Linked DNA regions of Nothobranchius furzeri. Each later gene encodes a partner of the first gene's protein in a complex. Links are inferred from orthologs where the notes say so. Each region holds a gene or a part of one and is shown on either strand. Other genes may lie near its edges. The genes, in order: cdk4 and cdkn1a.

The links.
Region 2: the proteins of cdk4 (region 1) and cdkn1a are in contact, whole or in part, in a crystal structure (PDB 6P8H), measured with the Homo sapiens proteins. The link is inferred for Nothobranchius furzeri from reciprocal best matches to the Homo sapiens genes CDK4 and CDKN1A. Residues at the interface, in NP_000066.1 of Homo sapiens: Gly18, Thr19, Val20, Tyr21, Lys22, Ala23, Asp25, Val32, Leu34, Ser36, Met75, Asp76, Cys78, Ala79, Thr80, Lys88, Thr90, Val92; in NP_000380.1 of Homo sapiens: Met38, Cys41, Ile42, Ala45, Arg48, Trp49, Phe51, Phe53, Val54, Glu56, Asp62, Phe63, Ala64, Trp65, Glu66, Arg67.

What each region holds. Positions count from the first base shown.
Region 1 is NC_091743.1:49,241,521-49,245,897, forward strand, and holds the end of cdk4 (cyclin-dependent kinase 4), read left to right. Parts: intron 1-1,773; coding exon 1,774-1,883; intron 1,884-2,431; coding exon 2,432-2,482; intron 2,483-2,560; coding exon 2,561-2,696; intron 2,697-2,975; coding exon 2,976-3,077; 3' UTR 3,078-3,620; downstream 3,621-4,377.
Region 2 is NC_091743.1:46,701,185-46,704,519, reverse strand, and holds cdkn1a (cyclin-dependent kinase inhibitor 1), read left to right. Parts: upstream 1-1,444; 5' UTR 1,445-1,575; coding exon 1,576-1,578; intron 1,579-1,712; coding exon 1,713-2,163; intron 2,164-2,245; coding exon 2,246-2,301; 3' UTR 2,302-2,612; downstream 2,613-3,335. UniProt on the Homo sapiens protein: Plays an important role in controlling cell cycle progression and DNA damage-induced G2 arrest. Involved in p53/TP53 mediated inhibition of cellular proliferation in response to DNA damage.

The DNA.
Region 1 (4,377 bases):
GCCACTTGTGAAGAGGGAGCTAAGCCAGAAAGCAAAGCTCTAAATTAGGGGTGCACAATATATCGGTATCGGCCATTTTTTAACATATCTGTATCGGTCCGATAAATAAAACTAGGTCGATATTAACTGGTATTTTTTTCCATCTTGTTTCCATTTGTTTATCAGTTTCAGAGGGTGAGGGGGTGCTGTGTATTTTAGTCAAGTGACAGTGATTGCAATCATCTCAGTAGAGTAAGTGTGTGTGTGTGTGTGTGTGTGTGTGTACATAATAATGTAAATTCAGCTTTAATAATATTCAGTCTTTACAAAATCTGCTGATTTTAGAAGCATTAATGTCAGTATATCGATATCGGCCCTAACAGTGATATTAATATCGGTATCGGCCCAAAAATGTCACATCAGTGCATCTCTACTCTCAGTTTACCTGCCGGTCTTGATCCCAGTCCTCACCTGTAGTCATGAGCTTTGGGTAATGACAGAAAAAACAAGATGGCGAATACAGGGCGTACACTGTGCGACTTTTTCGTTGGTTGTTCGTCATCTGACACTGTTCACAGGGCACAGCCACGAGTCATGTTCTCACGCTCTGACCGCTCGCACTGTTGTGGTAGTAACACGCCGGTCCAAAGAATGTGTTTTAAGAGTTTTTTTCTCAACGGGTCGAACCTGTGAATCCAGAAACCTGAAAGAGAGGAGACTGTTGTGCCGTCATTGATGTCTGTTGTCCTTGAGGCCTGCCGTAGTTGTGGGAGGACACGCAGGGGTTTATGGGGAATAGAAGTAGAGGAAGAATGAAAGGCATGTAGGAACTAAACCGAGGTTTTGGGATCTGCTTTTACTTGACATGAATACAAAAGGTGCTTTCTTAACATTAACATGTGCAGAGAAAACTGTAAGTAAAAGGTGGAAACGTGTGTGGAGATGAATATGGCTGGCCAGACATTTTGGCGCGTGCGCTGTGTGAGCGGTTCTGGTACATTTGGGTCGCGGTGCAGCTTCAGCGGTGTCATACCCTCACAAGGGATCAGCAGAAATTTAAATATGCTTGATTCTCGTGCGATTGGGAGCTGGTCGGGGGGTCTTAACCGCCTCTCGTAACCCCTTCTATACTACACGACACAAAACTCGACCTGACCTCAAAGACTGTTGCATGGGTGGAAAATTGGCTCAAAATGAGCAGAAAATCACACAGCAGGCCTGGCTTTACAGAGTTTTAGGGATTATAGATTATAACAAAAGTAGCAGCATGAAACAAAAGAACAATCAAATGTCTAGTATAACATCTATTCTGGTTTATGTAGGAAGGCTCATCAGGAAGGTGTTTAACACAGTGGGCTGTTTCTACTCAGGATCTATTTAGTTTTTCACTTTCAACCAACACATCCTGCTGAAATGTGCTCACTTCTGCATCTTTACGTTTCTGGCCTGCTAGCATCATTTTTTAGTGAATTTTAACCGGTTGCTTAGTAATACTGTCACAGAGCACTATCAACTACATCTTACATTGTTGTCAGTGAACGCTGCTTTTTCTCGTAAGGGTTTGATGAATGACTGTAAACAGCCACATCTGCAGCCCAGTGAGGCACCGGCGTGCTCTCCTCAGGAGTTCAGCGTTCAGATTCATCAGCTGACGTTTACCAGGCTCACATCGAAAGCAAAACTCTGCTTCATGCGTACACACCGTGTGTTTAGCTCGAGTATGTGAAGGTTGGCTTAGATGAAGCGAAGCTTGTGCTGTTACTAATGCCAGTCTTGCGTTTGGCTCTCTTGGAGGTGGTGACGCTGTGGTACCGACCTCCTGAAGTTCTGCTGCAGTCCACGTACGCCACTCCGGTGGATATATGGAGCACCGGCTGCATCTTTGCTGAGATGTTCAGACGCAAGTGAGTCAACATAACGTTCAGATCACCGGTATCTGATCTTCTGTCAACTCGGGTTTAGCGGTTTGCTACGACTGGGATGTTTCCAGCTGATAGATGAGCGGTCTGGAAATCCGATAGAATGATTATCTGTGAAACCCGTTTGTTTTTAAAGACTTAGTTCTAGTTTATAACCCAACTTCTGATGATGATTTGCCTTTTAGACTAAATTTAGAATTTAAAAAAAAAGGGAAGGAAAAAAGCTCTGCATCCTCTTCCAAACAAGCCCGGAGATCAACGTTTTCTAGGATGTCAGCATTTGATTTCAGGCTGATGATTTTCAGGGACATAGTTTTACAGATTTTGACAGCTGGAGTTTAGTCTGGGAGCAGCCTGGGTGGACGTACCTAGAAGATATGAAGTTTATGTGTGATGTGTGCAGAGTGGCTCCATCTAGTGGTGGAAAACAGCATGACATCAGCAGCCAACAGGGTTGAAGAACTGTATTTGTTTTAGATGATTAAAATAAAAATTACGTAACTAATTTTACATGTATCGTTTTGTTTTTTAAGACCTTTATTCTGTGGAGAATCAGAAATGGACCAGCTTGGGAAAATATTTGAGTGAGTAACAAAGACTTAGCGGAACATCAGCAACCAGAACGACCAAGCAAATCATTCATTTCACTCATCTGCTTTCAGAGTTATCGGCTTGCCGCAGGAGGAGGAGTGGCCGACCGGCGTCACCGTGTCGAGGAAAAACTTTCCCGCTGTCAAAGCTCGCCCGATCACCGACTTTGTCCCAGAGATAAACGAGCAGGGGGCCAAACTGTTGATGGTAAGACTTGAGTTAACAACTGAAGGCCGATTCTTTTCTCACCTGCCAACGCCCCGGACCCCCGGGCTTTCCTGAACTAAAGCAGAATCGTACAGATGCATGACTTTTCAGCACATTATTAAAGAAATATGAAAATATAATGTAGAAAAGAAATCACACAGAAATATTTTCCTGCAGAAAGTGTCACAGCTAACCATGTGTGGGGGGAATGTTGTCAACCAAATGACTGTAAAAAAAAAAAATAAAATCTATTTTTTGCCTGTTCTCTTTCCTCCACAGCAAATGCTGACCTTTGACCCTTTGAAGCGAATATCAGCGCTGAACGCTCTAGAACATCTGTATTTCCAGGATGAGGAGACGTCGCCTCAGACAACCAGTTGAAATCATGCAGTAGAAAAAGAACCAACAGGATCCAGCGCCCTCTGAGTACAGATTATGTTTAGGGAATATTTCTTAGTTGATCCTGCTTCAGAAATCAGGATGAAACTCTGTGAGGATGAATTTGATGAGCACTGCCATGTTTTTGAGCTTGTACAAGTCACATGTAAAGATGTTATAGCAGCAGTTAAAGGGCAGCACTAGTGATTTTGATGTTTAGTCTTGGAGTCAACATGCAGAAATGTCTCGTTTAAATGCTGCTTTTGTTGCCGTACATTCTCCAGATAGGTTAGTGATGTTTGTCTTACACAGCTGTAACCCGTGTTGAAGCTGCTCGCTGTCTATAATGTGAGTGGCTGTATCTGAATCATGAACATTTTAAATGAAGTTTCAAACAGTTACAGATAAACGCACAAAAGCTTAAAAAATTGGAATTTCTTTTGAGTTATTGCACAAAAGTTTTTTGTGGAATGAATTTCACACCTTCAAATGTCACTAAACACCACACACTGAAATCTGAAATGAATAAAAGAAAGTATTCAATAATTCTGGGTCAGTTTGTTGTGTTTTACAGATGACTGTCTATAAAAATAAAACATCCTCTATCTGAACAGATGAAATATACTTTGTTCTCTAACCCATGTAAGTTTGTATTTGGAGCCACAATCAGAATTAAAGTGTAAAAACACTACAGGCAAATCCAACTTTGATGTAATGTCCTTAAAACAAGTCAAAATGAGGTTCAGTAGTGTGTGTGTGGCCTCCACGTGGTGAGGTGGTGGATGGTCTGAGGGATCTCCTCTCAGATCTGGACTAAAGCATCCTCCACTGCCTGGGCAGTCCGTGTATGATGATGTCCCACATGTGCTCAATTGGATTCAGGTTTGGCGAACAGGCAGGCCAGTCCATAGCATCATGCAGGAACTGCTGACACACTCCAGCCACATGAGGTCTAGCGTTGTCTTATATTAGAAGGAACCCAGGGCCAGCCGCATCTGCATGTTATAGCATGTTGAGGGCCGTGCCACCCCCCACCATTGCTGCCAAATCGGTCCTGCTGGAAGATGTTGCAGGCAGCAGGAGCACGGTGTTGGGCTAAAACACAACCCCAGCTTGTGGATGTCAGGCCCTCATTCCACCCTCTTGGAGTCTGTTTCTGACCGTTTGAGCACACACACGTGGCAAGGTGGAGAATTGTGGGCTGGTTAGAGCTGTAGCAACTCTAACCAGTCAGCCAAAGGAACAACTCCTTGGTCAAGAAGCCAGGGCGCATGATCAATCGGGTCACAGTGACGGGACGCCC
Region 2 (3,335 bases), about 2.5 Mb from region 1:
TGATTTGGCTCAACATGTAAGTAAAACACATTAAAGATGTTATTTTATATGTAAGAAGTTAGTAGTTGTTAAATTTAAAAGAGCTTCTAAGCATCTGAGTAAGATTTATGATTTCACAACCTTTAAAACTCAACACACACACACACACACATATATATATACACTTTTGTAGCTCATTAATAATTGTATTCTAAACATTTGAAGAACAAAAACGTTTTTACAGGACTAATGTGTTCCTAGAGGTGTGAAAAGTTGACATAAATGGATCTTTGCGATCTCATTTTTGCACATCCAGGAAATCCATAAACTCTTGTTTGGTGGTTTTAGTTTTTTTTACATGTCTGTGTGTGTGTGTGTGTGTGTGTGTGTGTGTGTGTGTGTGAGAGAGAGAGAGAGAGAGAGAGAGAGTGGGTGAGTCCAAACTGTGACATCCCAGTTTGACACGAGTTCCAGACTCACGTGGAGCAGAGTTGTAGCTGAACTGGGCTGGGTCCAACTCAGTCATGCATGACTAGCTCTCCCGCCAAAGCTTGAGTCACTCCTCCCAGAACCACCCTGCCCAGTAAAAGAAACGCCCTCCCCCTTCCTCTGTGGGACCAGGGCAGCGCAGGGATCCAGCAGGGATCCTTCAAACCCTTTTATTAACCTAATGATCCACCCACAATTGGGGAGCTTTATTCTGAGCCCTGTGCTGTGGGTGGGAGCGTTGAACACTGCATACATAGTCTTAGTGGTCATTAGATGTGTCCAACAAACCCATTTTTTAGTAAACTCTGATACAGACTGTAGTCAACTGACTTTACTACGTAGATAATTTTGATCAAAATGCAAAGGGCCCTTCTTTTTCTCATGAACAAACCAAACTGAACTCCATGATAGGAGCCAGATCAAGCTAAAATAGAGACATATTTCACTCTCATATTTTATGAATCAGAAAAAAGGGTTTGTGCTTGTGTTTGTATGAAAATAAAAATCAGAATCATATCAGATTATAACAGATGACTTGTTTCATTGACACATTTTTATTTATAACACTAATCAGTATTTTACTGAAACGCATCTTCACGTCAAATTGAAGCAGATTTTTCCAGATTCCGTTTGCAGATAACTGGAACAGCTTCTGTAAAATAAGCTCGTGTCCTCTTAATCACTGATAACGTATTTTATTCATCTCCCAATCTCATCTGCTGCACCGTAACTGGACGGGCAGGGACTGTTTTCCTTGAATGCTTCCTTCCTTCTTGGATGGTCTGAATGACCTGTTTCCCAGGTCAGAGTCAGAAAACAGTCACATGTTTCCCTCAGTTTCAACGTAAACTGAAGATGAATTATTTCTCTGGTGTTTGCCTCCGAGCTGTCTGTAGTCGGAGTGACAGTGCCACCTTGTGGTTTATCTCTCTTACACCAAACACCACAACAGCAGAGGACTTGCCCTTACATGCCTGTGAGAGATTATGCCCAGACATGTACCAGAGAGGAGGGCTAGTGACTCACTGCTGCTGCTGCACTGCATTATAAAAGCCCGTCAGCTCACAGAAGCAGTCTAGTTCACTGAGGAGCTGTTAGGCTAGAACCATGGTGAGTCTGACTAAACTTTGTTTAAATCACTGGTTTGAAAATATTAAAAACATTTAGTTTGTGTACTTTTTAGACTGTGGACAAAATAGATTGTGGCTTTTGAAACTAATCAGTTTTCCTGTTTTTACCTACAGTGCAGAGGGATGGCTACACTTCACAAGCGAGCCCTCAGTACTCTAAGAAGGAACGGTCCCCCTCGGCGGAGCCTGTTTGGCCCAGTGGACCGAGAACAGCTCCAGATGGAGTACCGGACTGCCCTGCGTAAAGATCTGGAGGAGGCTTCCCAACGCTGGGGGTTCGACTTCTTCTCCGACAAACCTCTGGAGAGCGGTGATTTCCAGTGGGAGATTGTCCCAGGTACCAGGGTGCCACTGCCCTACAGATCCAGCGTCATCTGTGCAGGACATGCAGAGGGTCAAAGGTCAGCAGGTGCAACCAAAAGAGGAAGGGTGGTGGTACCAGAGAGGGAGAAAGAGAACTTCCCCCAAACTCTAGAGAAATGTTCTCTGAGTCTGGAGAACATGGAGACAACATCAGAGACGGAAGACAAATCAGGAATGAAGAGGAAACAGACAAACATTACAGGTATGTTTAGATATTTTTTATATCAAATTAGAAACACTCATCTTTTCTCATAAGCTAAGTATCCTCTTCTTTAACCCAACAGATTTCTATCAGGCTAAAAGAAGAGTTGTCTGGCTGCCGAGGAAATCCGGGGAGTGATATTTCCTTTGAAGGTGCCAAAACTCCCAAGAGAACCAGACAAAGAACCAGCACCTCCTTCAGGAATCAGTTGTTCCACACCGAGCAGCGGGAGTGCTGAATCATCCAACAAAAAAAAAACAAAAAAAAGAAAAAAAAAACCCAGAAGGCACCAGGCTAATTAAGATGCTGCATGTGTGAGGGGTCTGGTGTTTTCTGTCCACGCTGCAGTTAAGAAGGTGACATTTGAGCAGAGAAGATTAACAGTAATCTCTGGAATCAGTGGATTTATACTCATTTGGACTGAGAGCTCGCCAAATTGCTGACTGACATTTGTTACGGCGCGTCACACAGCTCTTAACCCTCTCGGTCTCGTTTTGATAAAAGGACGAACAACTAAGTCCTTCAGGGGTGCTTCTGAGTTAAAAAATGCTCATGAGATACTTGTGTGGAGTAACCAGGTAGGTAGGTTTTAACTGTTGCAGATCTGCGATGCCTGCCTCCAGAGGGTTAAAACACAATCACATCTCAGTTTGGTGGGACTTCTGCCTGTTTGAGGATGAAAAGCAGACGTGCGAACAAATATCAGGACTCAGATTAATACGTTTCTGTGGCAAAGCCGCAGGAAAGCTAAAAACAGGAGAGCTTTGTCTATTTTGTTCAAATCTATAATTGTTTTTCTACGTCTTTTTATAGGAGTTTTTTTTTTAAGTGCATTATATTTTACATCGGGGGTTCCCAATCCTGGCCCTGGAGGGCTGGTATCCAGCAGGTTTTGTGGTTTTTCTGCTCCAACAGACTTGATTCAGTGGTTGAAACGCCTGTGCAGCAGCTCATCAGGCTCTGCAGAAGCCTGTTAATGAGCTGCTGATTGAAATCAGGTGTGTTGAAACAGAATTCAAACTAAAACATGCAGGATACCGGCCCTCCAGGACCAGGATTGGGGACCTCTGCTTTACGTAGTCATCGGAAAACGGCTTATGGAGTTGTGATATATCCTTAAACATGTGGTTGCATTGCTTAGACTATAATCAGCAGAAGTGCCAACTTTTTCC